Mus musculus: one gene and its partners. The protein of the gene in region 2 purifies or fractionates together with the protein of the main gene of each other region. This does not show direct contact. Links are inferred from orthologs where the notes say so. Each region holds a gene or a part of one and is shown on either strand. Other genes may lie near its edges.

Region 1 (2,349 bases), on a different chromosome or scaffold from region 2:
GATCTTGCACTGTAGCCTAGCATGGCCTTCTACTCTTAGGAACCCTCCCACCTCAGACCCCTGAGTGGGGTTACAGGCATACACCACAACCACTACCAGATTTTGTTATGTATCTGAATAATGGATAGTTAAGATCCTATCTAATCCATCCCTGAAACGATATCCTGTCTTAGTTGTTATATAACCCTGCAGTAAATCTGAATGGCCAACACACAAGTCCTTTTATCATCTTCTCTCTGCTCCCCCCTCCTCGACATCGCAGGATCTAGACCAGTGGTTCTCATCCTGTGGGTCTTGACCCCCTTGGGAATCACATGTGAGATATTTACATTATAATTCATAACAGTAGCAAAATTACAGTTAATGCAGTATGACAAAAATAATTTTATGGTTGGGGCAGGGGGTCACCACAACATGAAGAACTAAAGGGTTGCAGCATTGGGAGGTAGAGAGTCACTGTTTTAGACTCATCTTAATATATCCCTATGAAATAAAACACAAGCTGGCTGAGTCACACTGGAATTTATTTACTGAGTGGATTCCAGGAATGTCTGCTTCCGCATCTGCAAGGCAGCCTCAGGCTCACTGACTGACCCACCCGACATGTGGGAAGTGTGCTTCGGGAACTGGACTGTCCATCCCTGGGCCTCAGCTTCTGGACTCTCGCTCCCAAATGAGCACTCAAGTCCCGTGAATAGCATGGGAAGCCTGAGGACCCAAATGGCCTTCACAGGAGGCCTCTTCTGAGTACCTGACCCCTGTGAATCAAGGCCCACCATTGTCCTTTCCCTAACAGCAACAGACAAGGTGCAATTAGACAGAAACACCCAGGGCTTTTATATGAACCTCAAATCCTGACCCAGTGGAACCAAAACTAAAACATGTCTGACTTCCCAGCTGTGTCCCCGGTATGAAGACAGCTTATACTCTGTGCTTCCACCAGGTGGTGCTGTAGTACCAATGTCCTTGAAGAGGGGACAGAGCCTGACAATCATCTCTAAGGCCGGGTGGCACCACTGAGGGGTGGCCCTGGAGAAGGACACAGCTAGCAGTTTCTGGAGGCTTTGTCTGTAGGACGTGAGTCTCTTTCTCTGCTGGGATGAACATCTCACGGTTCTGCCTCCCAGAGCCCAGCCCTCAAGCACACTAAGGAGCAGGACCAGGTGTGGTATATATAGCCGTGGGGAGGCCATGGAGGCAAATCAGAAAGAGGTGCTCCTAGGGCGAGCAGGAAGGCCTGGACCAGCATCTCACCCCTCTGGGATGAAGGGCCGAATCAGTTCTGGGTTCAACAGTGACTCCTCAAGAGGTCGATCCACATGGAAGTCGTGGACATGGGGGGGCCCTGGGTGAGCCTTGGGTGCAGGTCCCCCTGGGCGCTGAGGAATTGGCAGCTCGGATGGATGGGCAGGCAGAGGCGCTGTGAAGAAGTACTGATGCAGAAGGGCCTGGGGGTAGCAAGAAATCCAGTCATTATGTATCCCCAAAATCATTCAACTGACTCAGCAAACCTTGCCGACGTGCCTATGTCTGGAGCACTGTCCCAACAGCTGGGAACATTTCAGTGAGCCAAAAATTCTTGCCAACAGAGGAAGGGGTGGGAGACATAAACCAGAGAAAGGGGCAAAATGCACAGTATGTCCCCGGCAACAAAGAGAGCTTGTGGTGTAGCTAGCTATTCCTTCCCAATTGAAACATTCCCTCTGGGCAGGAGGCTCCTTGAAAACACACAAGTCCCAGGAAGTACCTAATACTAAAGCCCGACTCAGGTCAGATTTGTTATCAGTGTCCTTTCTGCAGTGAACAGACACTCGTTCGTGTCTCCCAGGACAAACCATATAATAAAGCTGGGTGGAAAGGCTGAGGAGGACTAGAGAGATGCTGCAGGCTTTGAAGAGCTGGGTCCCAGGAGCACAAGCCCAAAGGAAAGCCTAGGGCTTGAGAGGAGCAAACACAGGAGGGCTAGGAACACAGCAAGAGCAGTCAGGGTGAGAAAGAGACAACACTCACACCTGCAACTGCAGGCAAGACCCACTGACAAGGGGGAGGGGCTGGACAGAGGGCAGGGGTCACTGACTTCTCTCCCGAAGCCTCCTGGAGAACACTCCATCAAAACCCCACCTCCAAGGGTTCCACCCTACGCGGGTTCTAAGCGTCTCTGGCTTGGCAGGGTCAAGGGTCAACCTTTAACCCTACCTGGGAGGCTGCAATACGCTGTCGTGGAGGGTAGAGGAGGAACTGGCCCAGCAGGTCCAAGGCCTGGGGAGAGGCATCAGGCAGCACCTCCTCCAGGGGCACTGGTGCCTGCTCCTTGAAGGAGATCTTGTTGTAGTCAGGCAGCTCTGTGAT
Region 2 (3,986 bases):
CCCGGTGCTCCTGCATCCTCCCAGATGGGGGAGGGGCGGATCCGATGCCCTGACCAGGCAGCTGTAGCTCGGGGACTCTGGGACACCAGCCACAGGGTATGAGGAGCCCGGAGTGCATGGGGGGGGGGGGGGGCTTTTGTTCTCTGTTGCTGGGATATCTGCCTGCTCAGTCATCCGAGCTCTGAGCCACAGGGTGGCTCTCAGTGCCACCCTCTGTCATCCTCCCTCCCTCCCTTACCCTGTTGCTTGCAGGTCCTGGCCAAAGCCCTCAGCTCCCCCACGGCCTGGACTGCCATCTCCCTCTGTTTGTGAAGTGGGTGGGTTAAGGGAGGGGGCTGGGTGACCAAGGACTGTGTGTTTGTGTGTGTGTGTGTGTGTGTGTTGGGAGATTTAGTGACTCCTTGTTTGTTGAGCCAGCTGCTGGCCTAGACCTTCACCCCCTACAATCTCCTCTTCCCACCCAAACCACCTCAGTTGATTATTACCCAGCCAAGCGCATAAGGCTCTTTTCTGGGACCTGAGTTGGCAAAGGCATTGAATAAGGAGAAGATTGGGGAATCTTTTGACCCAGGGTTAGAGCCATTTGGAATGGGTTAGGACTATGATCGTGCCCTCTTGCTCCTTGGCTGCCTTAGGGAAGAGTGGGCAACCTCAGGCCTCGTCTCTAGAACATGGATCTTGATACTGGAGGATGTTCACAGTGCTGTCTCTGTCTACTGAGCCTTATCTTGCCCTCTCCACACGCAGCAGCTTAGTTCTGCTCACACCACACTGGTGTCCAGGGGCCCAGGCTATGCTAGCAAGGCAGGTGGGCAGTGAGTGGGCACCCTTTGGCCAGCAGGGCTGAGATGTTTACACGGCAGCCTGGCCCATTGGCTGCTCTGTGCCAGGTTCTGGAGATTTAGAACCCGAAGCCACTGCAGCAGAAGTGCCCCTGTGGAAAGCACCTGGCTCAGGTAATTGCCCCCCTAGGGAGGCTGGCTGAGAGGGTGGGGGTGGGGGCAGGAAACTGGGGAGGAGCTGAGGTGGGAGGCTGGTCAGTGGCTTCAGGATGACTTCCTGACCCCTCCACCTGGACAACTGATCTTTGTACCCAGAGGGGCTCATCTCTGCCCTACTCTCTAGACGCAGGGTGCAGAAGTTGGCAGGGAGGTCACCTAGGTTCCATTTCAGAGTCCAGTTCTGACTAATTCCTCGGGCAGATCATTGTCTAGGAATTTTCGGACACGGGACAAGAATGTGCCTTAGTGTTACATCCCACATGAGGCTACACCGGGCCCTATTGGTCCCTCTTCTACAACTTCGTCTGTACCTCCAGGGCCTTGGCTCCAGACAAGGGAGCAGTTTCAGAACCTGGCAGAGTGGTCAGGCCTCTCATGAGGCCTGACCTCACAGCCAGGTGTCTCCTTGGCCTTGCAGATCTGGTATGCGAGCCTGGCTAAGTGCCAGAAGGAGGTCGTGAGGAGGGAGTGGCCACCACCCGCACCTCTCCTCCCCCTACCTGCCAGGTGGGGTCTGCATGGCGGAAGTAGCAGAAGTTGTCCGTGATCCACTTGTAGATGGCCGACAGAGTGATCTTGGTGGCCTTGCTGGCTTGCATGGCCATGCAGATGAGAGTGGCATAGGAGTAGGGTGGCTTCACGTGTGGGTTGGTGGCATAGTCCACGTCGTCAGGGGGCGGGGCCTGCAGCCCCGGGGGCGCGCTTCGAGATGTGCACGACGATGTGGGCTTGCCGGGTGTGTGCGGCTGCCCAAGGCAGGCAGGGTCTGCCGCCAGCGGTGACCCGGGCGCCACCAAGCCCGGCACTTGGTGGTAGCCGTGGGGGTCTGTGCCTCCTGGGGGAAGAGTGGGAGCCTTGGCGTTGAGAATGGAGAATTCCTGCAGCCATTGCAGGCTGGTCAGGCTGTCATCCAGGGCGTCCGGCTCCTCCATGCCGCCCTCCGGCCCGGCTTCCTCTCCGGGACCCGCTCCGCAGAGGCGCAGCCAGCTCTCCGCCATGTCTGCGGGGACTCTCCGAAGGGGCGGTCAACATCCACAGGCTGAGCCGGAGTGGCCCGCCGCGCTCTCTGGCCCGCTGGTAACCCAGACTCCAGTTACACAGTCTCCAGAACACTCACTTCCATTCTGCGACCCAGGGGGTCGCCTCCTCCGAACACGAATGTGAGGCCTGCGGGAGCACCACGGAACTGAACACTCTTCCCCTACCCCGAGAGGAAAGAGGCGCCTTAGGGGGGGAGCCCCTCACATTCATCCCCGCAGCCTGTGGCGAGGTCAGGGAAACACAGGACCCTGGTCTGATCCTGCGTCTCCACCTCTCTCCATCTGCCCTTGAAGGGTTTGTTGGCCACAATGAGGGAAGAGGGTAGGAAGGCCCAAACTAACTCTTTTCCCCAAAGAGTGGGAAACTAAGATCACATCCCAATAGTCCAGGGGGGTCAGTACGACGCGGCTGGGGCAAAGTAGGTCATCTGATCCTTGAAAAGAGGTGTTAGGATGAAGGGTCTCGGGAAAGGAAGGTCACAGGACCGAGTTATGGAGGAGCAGGAAGCGATCTCCCGAACTCCTCAGATTTCATTTTCGTGGCCCCACTACTTCTGTGGGCGACCGATGGACTGGATAGCCAGCAGGTCCCGACGCCCTCCCATCCCGTGGTCCACAGCCCTCCCAGTCCCTTACCTGGCTCAGAGCGCAGCCAGCCAGAGGAAGGTTCTGGAAGAAGTTCCTCCCACCTCCCGCGGTTCTCTGTCCCCAGCTCGAGGGCTGTGCTGGCGCCCCTCTTCGCGCCCCCCCCCCTCGCCCGACGGCGCTTCTCTGAGCGCCGACGGCCCGGGGACCGGCATTAAGTAGACGCTCGGAAGGCTTCTTCTGCTGCCATGGCGACGCCCCGCCCCCATAAACAGCTTCCGCTGCTGTCATTGGCCAGTACGTCTCCAAGGAGACCGCGGGCCCTTGCAGCTCCTCTGGCGGCAACTCTCTGGAACTCTCTGGTTCTGCCGCCCTCTCCCGCGCCACCCAGCCCCCTACCCGCCACCGAGATCCGACTCTGTGCATTCCCGCCCGAGGGCCCCGCGCTGGGTCTCACGGCGGGTGCTCGGCTCCCGCTCGAGGCCCCGGGAACCCCTCCCCCAACGCGTCGGGTTTGACCGCTGAGGGGACCCAGCCCCGGATTCTGCAGACCAAGTCTCGGGGAACCGTGCCCTTGAAGTCTTTGCCCTCACCGGGCTGCCAGTGGCCTTTGTCTGGTTTCTGGGGCCTTTCCCTGGTCCCCGAGTGTCTTCTCTGGTGCCCACAGGCAAGTTTGACTCTCTGATGCCACCTGTCGCTTATAATCCGCAGAAACGGCCACACAGCTCGCAGACACACCGAGGCGGGTAGGGTAACCCAGCGTCTCCCGGTAAGCAGCTCGCCCACTCACCCTGCTCAAGTTCCCGGAAGCTGGCATTCCAGGGGCATCTGCGGAGGTGCTGCCCTTTCAGACAGTCTAGGAAGCAGAGCCAGCCGGCAAAAAACAGAAAAGCCCTGGGCCTGCAAGATTCTCAAAGAGGTCATTTGTTCTACTGATTTAGCCAGGAACTGGTTAAGTGATGGGAACTACTAAGCATAAGGGATTCTGGGCCCTAGCTTTCCCTATTGCCATCAGCTTTGGGGTTCTTTAATAATTGACGAGCTGCAGGATTGGAAGTGATCGGGTTTAAGGCAGATGCAGAAGCAGGTAGGGCAGTCAGGAATGGAGCTGGCCTTGTACCCAGGTCTGCAGAAATACTAAAAAGAGCCTGAGCCACTGACTGAAACGAATACGTTCACAAACGAATTCACGTTGTAATTAATGGCTCCCTTGCCCCTGTAAACAGTTTTATTCACTTTTAAGAATCATGCAGCAATCCATAAATATTGCATCTTGATGTCCCCACTGTAATGTGCCTATAAGTGTACTCCATGAATGTGAGGGGTACACAGATGGCACATACAGAGCACACGCACGCAC
Region 3 (4,312 bases), on a different chromosome or scaffold from region 2:
GGGTCTATCTCAAGTAGAGTGGGAATTATAGCAAGTGATGAAACAGGAATGCAGACTAAACATTTAGAAATACACGATGGGAGTTAATCGAGTTTGGCTGACACTTTGGGTGATGTGCTTCTAGTAGATCAGAGCATCTTTACAAGGCTTACTCTGAGACCACGTCAGTAACATTTCAAGGGTGCTTCTTTTCCCTCATGTCAATTCTACAAGACCTGGTAATCTGAACGGAACATCGGACAACTCCGGTCCGTGGAAGTGAAAGGTAACATGAGACAATTTTTTTAATTTGTCAAAAATTAGTGAATGTACCAAAGAATCATTAAAACAGTTTTACCAACCATGTTGCAAAAGACTCCTAGCCGGTTTGAAACATCTCTCAAATAACATACAGCCAGCTGCTTTCTCAAAGACTATTGTAACAGTGACTAAGGCAAACCTTTTAAACTGTTTTTCTAGCAATTTCCTTCATCTGATAAATATTTTGATCAAATACAATGAAGCAGTTAAAGAATGTACAATTTTTAAAATTATATTTAAACGGAGTCTCAATCAAAGGAGGTGTGACAACCAACGCATGTAAAAATTACCCTTAATCCGCCAACCAAAACACGCAAAATGTCTCCTAACAATTCTCCTCTTTAAAACAACCATACACAAAATACCGTGCTGACTTACACCCCGCTGCAAGCAGCTCATTAATAAAGAGACTAGTTATGTTTGGAGATCAAGGTGCAACACTCTCATCTCACAAACCTCTCTCCACGTAACCACATCATTCAAGCAAAACCGAACATTATTTTTGCTAAAGCAAGAATCCAACCCCAGGGAGCCTCAGCCCTTAGACAATGGTGGTTACCAGACAGCGCAGCACAGTTGGGTCCAAATGACACATTTCACTAGGCCTTGGTCACAACACGCGCGCGGGCGCGCGCTCGTCTACATACAGCTACACACACGATCCCAAGGGGCCCGTTCTACGGCGAGGGTGCTCAAACCCACCCGGAGACCGAGGGGAGCACCGTGGCGTAGTGGGTTGGAGAGGAAAGGGGGACGACACAGCGGAAGGGTAACTGCACTGCACACGAGGGAGGGGGCTGGAAATGGCCGATAGCTTCTATATTTATTTATTTAAAGGTATTGATTTAACGGGTTCTTCCCCGGGGTTCTGTAACTAAAGGCAAACTGTGCAGCAAAGATGTTGTGGTCGAGAGAGGGGCCGAGGCTCCCCCTGCCCTGCGACCTGGAAGGGGGCACGCAAGTTCCCCAGCCAGCGCGGCGGACCACTCCGGCGCTCCTCTCCCCCTCCTCCAGGGCAAGGGGGAGCCCACAGAGAAGGGGAAAACAAGTTCCCCGGCCAGCCTCACCGCCCCACGCAGCCAGCCGTCCCCCCACCTACCACGAGAAAGGGGGAGCCCAGATCGAGCCAGGCGCAGAAAGGGGGGAAATCCCACCCTCCTGCCCGCCCCCGGCCGCGAACAGACTCCCGTGGGGTGGGCGAGCCAGCCGGGAAGCCCCAAGGAGGGGTGGGGACGGAGGGTGCCAGCCCCGAAACCAAACAAAGCGCGGCCTGAGCCGCAGCCCGGGCGGATCGCGCAGCCGCGGCTTTTCCTGCCGGCCAGGCCCGGCCGGGCCGGGCCCAGGCGAACACTGCGGCACGGTGGGACCCGCCTCCGCTCGGCCTCCGTCTCCCACCCCGGGCGCGCCGCCGCCGCCGCCGCCGCCCCCGCCCGGCCTCCCGCCCGCCCAGCCAGGCCCCGAGCGCGGCCTTACCCCTCTCGCCGGCGTTGTTCCGATCCTGAGGCGGCGGCGGAGGCGGCGGGGGCGGCGGCGGGGGCTGCTGCTGCGGCGGCGGCGGGGGCTGCTGCTGCGGCGGCTGCTGGGGCGGCTGCGGCGGCGGCTGTTGCTGAGGCGGCTGCGGCGGCGGCTGCTGCGGGGGCTGCTGCTGCTGCTGTTGCACCGGGCGCGGCCGCGACACTCGCCTGGGTCTCCGGTTGGCGGCTCGGACGGAGTTCATTTGCCGGGCTGAGGTGGCGGCGTTGGCGGAGGGACACACACACTCACGCGCACACGCACCGCGAGCTCCGGGGCCGGGGAGGAAGGGGGTGGGGAGCGGGAAGGAGCGGGGCGGCCGGGGACGCGGGGACCGGGGGGCCACCGGGCGTGAGCTTCCCCCGGCTCCGCGGGGAGGCTGGGGGCACCACCGGAGCTTGAGCGAGGCCCGCCGGCCGGGCCTGGCGCACGGGCAAGGCCGAGGCCGCCGGGCGGGGCGGCCGCGAGGGACGCAGACAGAGAGACGGGCCGGGCAAGAGAAAGAAAGAAAGGGCGTCCGTCCGCCTGGGGAGCCCGAGGCGAAGCGCGGCGGCGGCCGAGCAGACGAGCCGGGCCCGCCGACTCCCGAGCGGCGTCTCCGGCAGCGGCGGCGGCGGGGGGAGTGGGCGGACGGGCGATCTCGGAGAGGGCGAGCCGAGCGGGGCGGGAGCGCGCGGGGGGCGCCCGGCTCCTCCGTTCCTCGTCCTCCCCCCACACCCCCTGAAAGAGCGCCCTGCGAGGAATTTTCTCTTTCTTCGGCCTCTTCTCTCTCCTCCGCCCCCCCCACCCCCACCCTCGGCGAAGGGGAAATGAGTGTAAAAGGGAGGAGATAGGGGCAAAAGAGGCGTCGTCGTTCCTCCTCCTTAAAGGAACCTTCCCTCCTCAGCCCCAGCGCCGCCGCCGCCGCTGCCGCTGCTGCTGCTGCCGCTGCTGCTGCTGCTGCTGCTCCGTGGCAGGAGGAGCCATTGACACCGCCGGAGCCTCTCCGCTCAAGCCCTGTCGGTCCCTCCCCGCCGCGGGGCTGGCCGGGGGGCGCGGGGGGAGGGCCGCGAGCCGGCGGGGGAGGGGCGGGGGCGGGGACAGAGGGGGCGTGGATTCCGGCGGGGCCTGACCAATGGGAAGCGCCCGTACGGTGTCGGAGCCAATGGAGCCTCCTCTCTTATCGCGGAGCCCCCTTCCTCCAACACCCTGTTTCCTCTCTCGGGTTTCCTCCTTCCCCGACGGAGGAGGAGGAGGAGGAAAGAGGAAAGGGGGGAGTGTGGCAGGGCGGGTGATAATGGGGAGGTATCAGGGCATATAATGGAGCCGGGGGTGGGCGAAGGAGCGGCAGTACGTAGCGAAGGTTCTAGGATAGGAGGTGCTCTGAAGGAAGGGCGGGGGCTGCTGATGCAATTGGGAGAAGTGATTAATCCTGCCTTTTGCCGGTTCAGCCTCCCTCCACCCCAACCTTCACCTGGTTCTCTTAAACGCCACAAGGAGTGAGGGACTCCGTCTTGGGTAACTCCGGATTTCTGGGCTCGGTAGGTTCAAGCTCTCAGCTGTAGGGAGCGCTCCAGGCTCTGTGCGTTTTTAGTCCAGCTGAAGGGATTTATTTGCAAACCTTAAGAAATCTTGTTTCGGCTCTGCTGAGAACTTAAGAGAGAGTCTGGAGTCGGTTCCAGCTTTTGTCGCCCAAACTTTCAGAATGTTTTAGATCTTTAACCAAGTTAGTTTGCTTTAGGCTTTTTTTTTGGGGGGGGGGGGGGGGCAAGTGGTCTACATGGTGTTCCGGAAGAAGTAAAATAAAACGGGTGGAGGTTGTGATGGATTATATTGGTTTTGTTTTAGGTCCCACGAAGTCAAGAAAGATAAACCCCCGAGAGGAATAATCTTTTGTATCTGTGTCTGGTCCCCTTAGCACAATCTCTCCCCAAGGAAAATGTGTTTCTATTCCCTGGCCGCCGTTATGAAGACTGAAAATGTACTCCGCTCACTATTCCTTATTGCATAGCTAGTGGTTTATCTCTGGATTCCCTCATTTCGGAGCTGTCAGTGATTTTCTACTTGAATTTCATTGATTGCTTTCTAGGCTTAAGATAGATAAAACATTACAAAGCTTCAGAAAGGGAGGGAGAAAAGTGAATTCTAAGGGACGCACAGGAGAGGTAAGTCTACGGTATTGTGCTATGTGTAAATTACAGATTTTTTTCTTTTTTTCTTTTTTTCTTTTTCTTTTTTTTTTTCTTTTTTCTTTCTTGGTTTTTTGAGACAGAATTTCTCTGTGTAGTCCTGGCTGTCCTGGAACTCATTCTGTAGATCAGGCTGGCCTCTAACTCAGAAATCCGCCTGCCTCTGCCTCCCACGTGCTGGGATTAAAGGCATTCGCCACCACTGTTGGCAAATCACCCTTCTAGATGTCAGACATCTCCTGCCATTTAAATAATAACCTATCATATGATGTACAATTGCTGGGTTTTTTTTTTTCTTTTTTGGTCATGTGATTTTCAAAGACTCACAATCT
Region 4 (4,314 bases), on a different chromosome or scaffold from region 2:
CATTATTTCACATGTTTAATTTCAAAGCATGATTATGTTCACAGATTTCTGTTAGTCTAAAACACTGAAAACAAAGAATGTCAATGCATAGTACAGTCCCTCCTAGGAAAAATAGCACAGAAAAAAAAAGTCGAACTAAATGGTACTTAAATTTGTATTTAATTTTAAAGATAAATTGTTATAACTCTAAGTTAATCAATCCACTAAACTATTTTATTTTAAAGCATCTCTAATATCAACTCTTAAAACACAAAGATTTGCTTTAAATGGACAGGCTACTTAACATAATGCAATGCCACATTTGCTCTCAAATTAACTTGTGAATGGAAAAAACTAAATTAAACACATGCTTGATGAGTGAAATGACTCTTAAACACTCTTGGACACGACAAATAAAATATTAATCTAAGACATTTTAATATATACAATCTACTCAGCTGAAACATATGTGAATGCCATTAAGATCTAAAACTGTCCCAAGACAGCAAAACTCCTTTTAACTTCAGACCCAGGAGCTTTACCATCGAAAAGTGTTCAGGCGTTTGACACTCATCTGAACAAAAAAGAGGAAAAGAAGAAAAAGAAAAGAAAGATGAAAAGAAAAAAGAAAATGAGAAGAAAAGAAAAAATAAAAGTTAGTATTTGAAAATTGCAAAGACAGGTTGGGAATGGATGAATAAATATAAAGAATGCTGAGAGATCCAAACAGACTTCTTTCAGAATCAAATCTCAGCTTCATTTAAAATAACAATCACACGAAAATGAATTGAAAAGTAAGGTTTTTCCCAATCCCCCAACTCTTACTTGTTTTACAAAATATTAGCCTTAATGGCATTATAATTACCCAACCTCTCCATTGACAATCTCAAGAATAATTAATACTGTCACATTATTCACAGGCTGCTCTGTCAGTTAAATCAATAAATGTTTGCTGTTGGAAAGATTATTTAAATAAGCACTTTAAAATATGAATTGGAAATTTCAATGTGCCACTATAATAGTACAATCTATTTGTTTTAGCTCACAATCATCATCAATTTTTTTCTGATAACCTATTAATTGTTATGCTGAAAATGAGCAAATTAAGGATCTGCAAAGCCAGGTTCTAATCAAGACGATACTACTTCATAACTGGTAAGTATTCAGATCTACAAGGGCAACTATTTCCTCTAAAGAAACACTTTAAAAGGAAGTTTTTTTTTTCTTCTGAACAGGTTTAAATCATTGTCCAAAGAAAACCAAAAAGTCAACAAAAAAGAATATGTTAAGTACACACATGCCTAGATCTTAACAGCCACAAAGAAAGTGAAATATACACACGTTTCAAGTTGAGAAGCTTCATACATTCTTTATGAACAACTTGACTTCAATTTCAACTCTCCAAGGGAAAGGAATAGAGATGAAGATGGGAGAAGGAAAAAAAAAAAAAAAAAAACTCTCAAAGTACCATAACTGTCACAAATAGCGTTGTGAACTGAGTTCTCACAAAGCTTCCTTATATCCTTTTCCTGTTCATCACAGACAAAGTCTAAACCACAATGAAAATTGTTAACACTCTCCTGTGGGGAGGGAGGTGCATCAAAGTGAAACAGAACCTCAGGACTACCCCTCCCATCTCCACATGAAGGATAAAGCGCTGTCAGTAGCCACTAACCAAAGTAGCACAGATGCCCTGCATCCGGTTTAAATCACAAGCACACACACACACACACACACACACACACACAAACCCGAAAAGGGGAGGGGGGAGAGAGAGAGAGGAGAGGGAGAGGAGACAGAGGAGAGACAAGAGAGGAAAGAGGAGAGAAGAGAAACAGAGAAACAGACTTAAAAAAAAAATCTCTCAAGAGCAGCAGAGGCCCCCTAGTTTCAATGTGTGTGCAAATGGGGGGAAGGGGGGAGAAGACTGCTGAATGGATATTAAGACTGTTTGCAGCACAAAGAAAAATACAGTTTTAAAAGAAAAAAAAAAAAAAAGAATCCCGTGAGGCCAGTGATGGTCAAATAAGTGCAGTCCGTTCAGCAGCAGGCACAGAGGGGCCGAAACGAAGGGAGCGGGCTTCGGGAAAAGTTCACCGAGGTACCAGGATAAAAATAACAAAACCCCCAACAAGGCCCCGCAAGTGAACAACAACCACCACAGCGCAGCACCTTTTGGGGACCCCCCCTGCTCACTGCTGTCTATTTCGATTTGGAAAGCAGCAGCCACCAGGCAGCTTTGCAAAGCAGCGAATTAAAGAAAGAGAGAGGGAGAAAGCGAGCCCCTTCTCTCCACCTGCCCCTCCTCCTGGGCGCCCGCGGACCTGGGGGGGACGCTCCAACACCCGCGACGGACAGCGGCGGCTTCCTAGCCCGCTCGCCCCGCAGCCCCGGCTCCCGCTCCATCCCCGAGCGCCGAGGCCGGGCGGGCAGGCGCGCGGCGCCCACACCCCCGAGCCCGCCGCGCGCGGGTCCATTGTAAACAAGCCCCCGGGACCGAGCCCCTCAAGCGGCCGCAGCCGGTGTCAGGAGGGAGACCCCGCACAGCCACGCTCGCTCGCACACACGAACACACGCACGGACACACACGCTCCCACACACATGTAGAGAGACCGAAGAATATTCACCTTGGCTGTGGATTATTGTGGTGTTGTTGGTGGGTGATGGAGATGGTGGTGGTGGGGAGGAGGAGGAGGAGGAAGAGGAGGAGGAGGAGGAGAGGAGTAGTTGTTGTTGATGGGTAACAGTCGCCAGGACTACGGTGACTATGGCGCTTGATTCACAAGGCAACGGTTGCTATAACTCACAAAAGAGAGAGAGAGGGAGAGAGAGAGGGAGCGAGGGAGAGGGAGACACTCGCGCGGGGAGGGGCGGGGGGGAGGGAGGAGGGGAGAGGGCGGGCCCGAGAGCGCCGGAAGAAGCGGCTTCGGCGCCGTGACTGACAGCTCGGAGCCCGGGCGGGGGGCTGCGGTCGGGATTCCGACGTCGGTTTTTCCCCCGAGGTGCGCTTTAAGACTTGGCGGGCCCGGGGTCAGGGCGAGTCTGCCTGGAGGAACGGGACGGAGGACGCCGGGGAAAGCTGAGGGTCTGGAGGCGAGGGCTACTTTCCGTCAAAGGAGCCCCGCCTGCCTCTGCCGCCAGCTCTGTGCCCAGCCGCCCCGCAGCCGCGAGAGGAAAAGCGCGAAGCCAGGGGAGGGGGAGTGACGACGGAGCCAACACTGTGTGAGACGCGCGCTACCGCGGAGGCAGACCCCACTTTGAAGAGCGGGCTCCACCCCGGGGCGTACGTCATTTCCTGGGCGGCCCCAGCTAATATCCCGGATGTGCTGCGCTCCTCCCCTCTCTCTCCTCTCTTCCCCCCGCCCCGCTCAGGTTTTTTTTTTTTTTTTTTTTTTTTCTCCCCTCCCTCTCCGTGGTCGCCAGTGTGGTGTTTCCCGGTCGGTCGTTTATGCCTCGCGGGTGATCCCTTTCCCAGACTCTCTGCGGCCGGCGCGGGCCTCCAGGGTCTCGGCTTTGCCCTCCCCTCCATCGAATTCCGCTTTCTCGCGCCTCCCGAGGCCGCGGGGTCCTGAGGAGCGCGGGCGGCGGGGTGTGAGCGGTGCTCCCGCCGCCATCTTAGGGAGCGAGAGCCTGGGCGCGCGAACGGTGACCCATCTCGCTCGGCGCGGCCGCTACCTCCCTGCGGAACCGAGACGCCAAGTTAGCACCCTGCAGGACCGGGAGGAAGTGCCAAGGGGAAGGGAATTCGAGCTTTCCGAGGATGAGGGTCCCTACAGGGGTGGGTTAGACCTTTCAGAGTAGCCCTCGGTAGGTCCTTAAGGGGCTCTACCCTTTCAGAGTTGACGGGATGGATCCCAGCTAGACCAATCGCCCTATTAGCTGGCATCGGTTTCTTAACAGCCTGGGGGTAGCTTGTTCTTGAGCTGTGTTGGACACGGGAACGGCTTCTGTCCATGGAGAACATTATTAGCACACAACCTGGCACCTCAAACTCGAGTTGATAAGGCACAGCTTCTGAAACCTCATGGTTCAAGCATATTCGTCCAATTCTCCTCATACTGGAGTCCAGCAGGCACGTGCCCCCAGGCCCGCCAATACCCAAAATCTCCCAACATTTGCAGCTAAGCAGCTTATCCAAGACAATAACATACTGGAAGTAGAGCCTTAAGAAGTCAGTTCTCCTCTTGAGGCTTAATTTTTGCACCGGCACATGAGGGATTTGGGCCAGCATGAGTTCCCTGTTAAAATAAGGCTGAGCTCTCTTTCTGTGCCCCAGACCTTGTGCTAAGTGTTTTACATACATTATCTCATTTAATCCTGACACCTGTTCTATTG
Region 5 (3,514 bases), on a different chromosome or scaffold from region 2:
TGTTGTTTAGAGTTTTCTTTAATGTGCTGTTACATTTTTTGCATATTCTCTCTAATAAAGCTAGTTTCATCCTTGTGAAAATTAAGAAAAATTATCCTTTCTGGGCTACAAAAGATTCAGGCTAGTCAATTACATTGATTTAAGTAAAAATAATGAATTTAAAAGATTCATCAGACATTCCTACATAGGTAACGTAAGGGCTTAGCACTAGAGACAGAGTTGTGCTCTAATTAATGGGGCATATACCATATCCACATCAAAAGGCAAAGGCAGTTCGGCCATCCAGCTGCCCTGCTGAGGACTACAAGAGGGGGGTCAGCGCTCACATGGTAGGTCCCTGACCCTCTCTCTGCTCCACTGAGACAAGAACCTACAGCCTGGCAGACGGAGTGAGAAAGACAAGGACATCAGCACAGAAGTCTGTATTTTGCTGCTGCTATTGCTCCGAGAGGGACTGTTACTCCACATCAGCTGACAGGGGCGACAGTAGAAAGACTGCTTAAACACGGCTTTCAGTGTTGGGCTGTCATAAGCTTCAGTGGAAACTGCCACTTCAGGCATTAAACATATCCCCCAGTCCAGGTTCAGGAAGCAGTAAACAGAAACTGATTCTAGGCATTATCCTCTACACCCAAGGGAGATGAGCCCTGAATGTTCATGTCTTAAAACATCTATTTAAAATTTTTGAAGCTTTTTGATTCGTGACTTTTAGAACCCTTAATAGATCATTCCTTTTAAGAAGATTCAAATAGACCACCACTTAAAAGACTATCCTGGTGCCGGGCGTGGTGGCTCACGCCTTTAATCCCAGCACTCGGGAGGCAGAGGCAGGCGGATTTCTGAGTTCAAGGCCAGCCTGGTCTACAGAGTGAGTTCCAGGACGGCCAGGGCTACACAGAGAAACCCTGTCTCGAAACACCCCACCCCCTGCAAAAATAAAAAAAAAAAAACAAAAACAAAAACAAAAAACTATCCTGACCCTGACTTGACAAAAAATCCTGGGCAAAATAGCTTCTAAATGGGAGATTGATGTCTATCTACCATCACACCTGTCCGTGTACAGGTTAAAGGCATTAACACATGCAGAAAAGCAATTAGAACTCAGCACACACCAAGCACAGAAACACAGGCCAGTCCCTCAAATGATAGAGAGAAAACATTTTTCCTTACCATCCACTTTTTGAACCACACAGCCTTAGTATCAACTAATGCGAAAAAATAGATGGGATCCAAAATCTTCTGTGGCACCAGGTGGCTTTGCTCGTGTTTGACTGAGAGCAAGGACAGAGTACTCTCCACAATTTCCTCCATATACCTGAGTTTGGGAAAGAAGTGATTTAAAAAAAAAAACTGACAAGGTTTAGTGTGTGTGAGATCAGTGATATTCTTATCCTTATGAAATTACAATGTGACATGTAACCTTGAGATTTTTTTTTTTTCTGTAAATGGTAGAGGCTAAGAGCCACACTCACTCTTTCTGCGCTAAAAATCTTGTTCTTTCTCCTCCAGTACTCTAGCCTCCAAATGTTAACTTTCAGTTTTAGACTCACAGGTGCTCTTACAACCTTGTCAGAACTTTTTTTTTAACTGAATGGAAAAATAAGATAACATTTAAGAAACTTGTTTAGAGTAGCAAACATCAGGTGAGCCCAAGGCCTCAACATCCCATTTCTACAATGTTTTAAGTGACATAAAAACATACTTGGGGAGAACCATTTACACAAATATACAAATACACTGACAAAAACTGCACTAAAACCTTCTATCCTAGTGTGCTACGATTAACACCATGTAAAACAGCAACTTGAAGAGAAACAAGTCCATTTTAGTTTACAAATTATACTCCATCATTAAGGGAAGCCAGACCAGGAGCTCAAGACAGGAATTTGGGGCAAAAACCATTGAGGCGTTGCTTGCTGTCTTGCCTCCTCAAGCTTGCTACTTTTCTTATACAGCCCAGGGCCATGTGCCTACAGAAGGTATTGCCCCTGGGAGGCCCCCTATATCAATTTACAGTTACAAAAACACACACATAGGCAAGTGATGAGGGCAGTTCCTCAGATGAGGGTCTATTTCCTAGGTGGTCCTATTTGGTGTCAAGCTGACAAAAACTAAGTGGCATATAGAACCATGTCCATCGCTCAAGACTACTGTTCCTTCTGTCCTTGAAATAATTGAAGGACATAGCCTATACCTTACATCACAGGAGTTGGGGAACTTACTTCTCTGGGTGACGAATCCAAAAAGATGGAGCCTCTTTCTGGTACTCATTCAGAAGGCGAACCTATAAGCAGTATACAAAAGCTCTCAAAAGAGTTTAATTCTTAAATATAGCCCTACTTTCCATACAGTACATCATAGTAAGTGGATACCTTTTTCAGTAAGCGGGTCACATTGGGACTGGTTATGTCTACTCCAGTTGAAAGAGTAGGAAGGTGATTTTCTCTAGAAAGAAAATATACCTCCAGATATTTAGCTGAAAAGGAAAGGGAAAATATACAGTCGTTATATATATTACGCAATGCTTCTGGAAGAAGTCATTTCTTACGGGATTTTAAGTGCATATAGGAGAACAACAATTGAAGTCATTTGGTGAACATACCTAAGCTTGTATAAATCTCCTTGGTCATATGTAACGGTGAGAGGGTAAAAGTCTGTGCGTAGAACTTTAAAATCCGGTCCTAGGGAAGCAAAACAGCCCATCCTCATTTGCGATCTTACAGCAGCACAGACCAAACACTTCTCGCATGGAACAGAAAATAAACACAAGATACACTACGCAGAAACCAGGGGAAGGCCGTGTCTATTCTAAAGGGCATGTCTTCATTTAGCCAAAAGTAAAATTATCCACAACTAAGGGTAAAACCAACAACAAAATGCACTGCTGTGAAATCTGGTCACAGCAGGAAGTAGGAGTGAATGGTGGCGGGAGGAAGGGTCACGTGGTGCTGTGAAATGAAGCTGCAGGCTTGCACAGAGGTGCTGGAGGCTTTAATGGTGCCATCCAACAGTGGCACAGTAGGCAACACTACATTTTGAGACCTCACATTTCCAAGGCCAGGATTGTTTCTTTAGAGTATTTAGGAGTCTTTCTAGCAATTATGCCTAGTCCCTAGACAAAAAAAAATACTACATAATATTTTGAAATTTGATCACAAAATAAACTGAACAAGAATTAAATGTAGTTTCAAACATGGTTGACACTAGTAGGCATTAAAATGGTACCTGTCACTTCACTTTCTTTATAATCACTTAAATATCATGAGAAGCGTAATTCTACTGGTGAAATACAAGTTTCCATTCAATAAAAACAATCTTGCCTCCTATTGTTTTAATCTACAGAAATAAAATTAAATGATCTAGTTTCTAACTCCCAGGCTAACATTTTCGTAGGAAGTTGGACTCTACATGTCTAATGATATCTTCCAATAATGCTAAGACATTCCCACGGAACACAGACCACCCAGTATTTGAAGCCCATGCTTGGAGTTGCAGTAACACATAAGCATCTGTA

Evidence for each region.
Region 1: the proteins of Foxj1 (region 2) and Cdk20 purify together in Homo sapiens (affinity purification with mass spectrometry; 3 studies listed by BioGRID and IntAct, counting the BioPlex papers as one, with this or other methods). This does not show direct contact. The link is inferred for Mus musculus from reciprocal best matches to the Homo sapiens genes FOXJ1 and CDK20.
Region 3: the proteins of Foxj1 (region 2) and Fbxo11 purify together in Homo sapiens (affinity purification with mass spectrometry; 3 studies listed by BioGRID and IntAct, counting the BioPlex papers as one, with this or other methods). This does not show direct contact. The link is inferred for Mus musculus from reciprocal best matches to the Homo sapiens genes FOXJ1 and FBXO11.
Region 4: the proteins of Foxj1 (region 2) and Rfx3 purify together in Homo sapiens (affinity purification with mass spectrometry; 3 studies listed by BioGRID and IntAct, counting the BioPlex papers as one, with this or other methods). This does not show direct contact. The link is inferred for Mus musculus from reciprocal best matches to the Homo sapiens genes FOXJ1 and RFX3.
Region 5: the proteins of Foxj1 (region 2) and Tbc1d32 purify together in Homo sapiens (affinity purification with mass spectrometry; 3 studies listed by BioGRID and IntAct, counting the BioPlex papers as one, with this or other methods). This does not show direct contact. The link is inferred for Mus musculus from reciprocal best matches to the Homo sapiens genes FOXJ1 and TBC1D32.

What each region holds. Positions count from the first base shown.
Region 1 is NC_000079.6:64,437,880-64,440,228, reverse strand, and holds the end of Cdk20 (cyclin-dependent kinase 20), read right to left. Parts: coding exon 2,197-2,349; intron 1,449-2,196; coding exon 1,251-1,448; 3' UTR 508-1,250; downstream 1-507. UniProt on the Homo sapiens protein: Required for high-level Shh responses in the developing neural tube.
Region 2 is NC_000077.6:116,332,541-116,336,526, forward strand, and holds the start of Foxj1 (forkhead box protein J1), read right to left. Parts: upstream 2,815-3,986; 5' UTR 2,678-2,814; intron 2,203-2,677; exon of another isoform or gene 2,169-2,202; 5' UTR 2,000-2,168; coding exon 1,502-1,999; intron 1-1,501. UniProt on the Homo sapiens protein: Transcription factor specifically required for the formation of motile cilia. Acts by activating transcription of genes that mediate assembly of motile cilia, such as CFAP157.
Region 3 is NC_000083.6:88,063,236-88,067,547, forward strand, and holds the start of Fbxo11 (F-box only protein 11), read right to left. Parts: upstream 2,811-4,312; 5' UTR 2,018-2,810; coding exon 1,774-2,017; intron 1,698-1,773; exon of another isoform or gene 1,400-1,697; intron 1,307-1,399; exon of another isoform or gene 860-1,306; intron 1-859. UniProt on the Homo sapiens protein: Substrate recognition component of a SCF (SKP1-CUL1-F-box protein) E3 ubiquitin-protein ligase complex which mediates the ubiquitination and subsequent proteasomal degradation of target proteins, such as DTL/CDT2, BCL6, SNAI1 and PRDM1/BLIMP1.
Region 4 is NC_000085.6:28,008,366-28,012,679, forward strand, and holds the start of Rfx3 (transcription factor RFX3), read right to left. Parts: upstream 2,802-4,314; 5' UTR 2,607-2,801; exon of another isoform or gene 1,347-2,606; coding exon of another isoform or gene 1,321-1,346; intron 1-1,320. UniProt on the Homo sapiens protein: Transcription factor required for ciliogenesis and islet cell differentiation during endocrine pancreas development. Essential for the differentiation of nodal monocilia and left-right asymmetry specification during embryogenesis.
Region 5 is NC_000076.6:56,194,186-56,197,699, forward strand, and holds part of Tbc1d32 (protein broad-minded), read right to left. Parts: intron 2,682-3,514; coding exon 2,603-2,681; intron 2,477-2,602; coding exon 2,373-2,476; intron 2,285-2,372; coding exon 2,223-2,284; intron 1,316-2,222; coding exon 1,171-1,315; intron 1-1,170.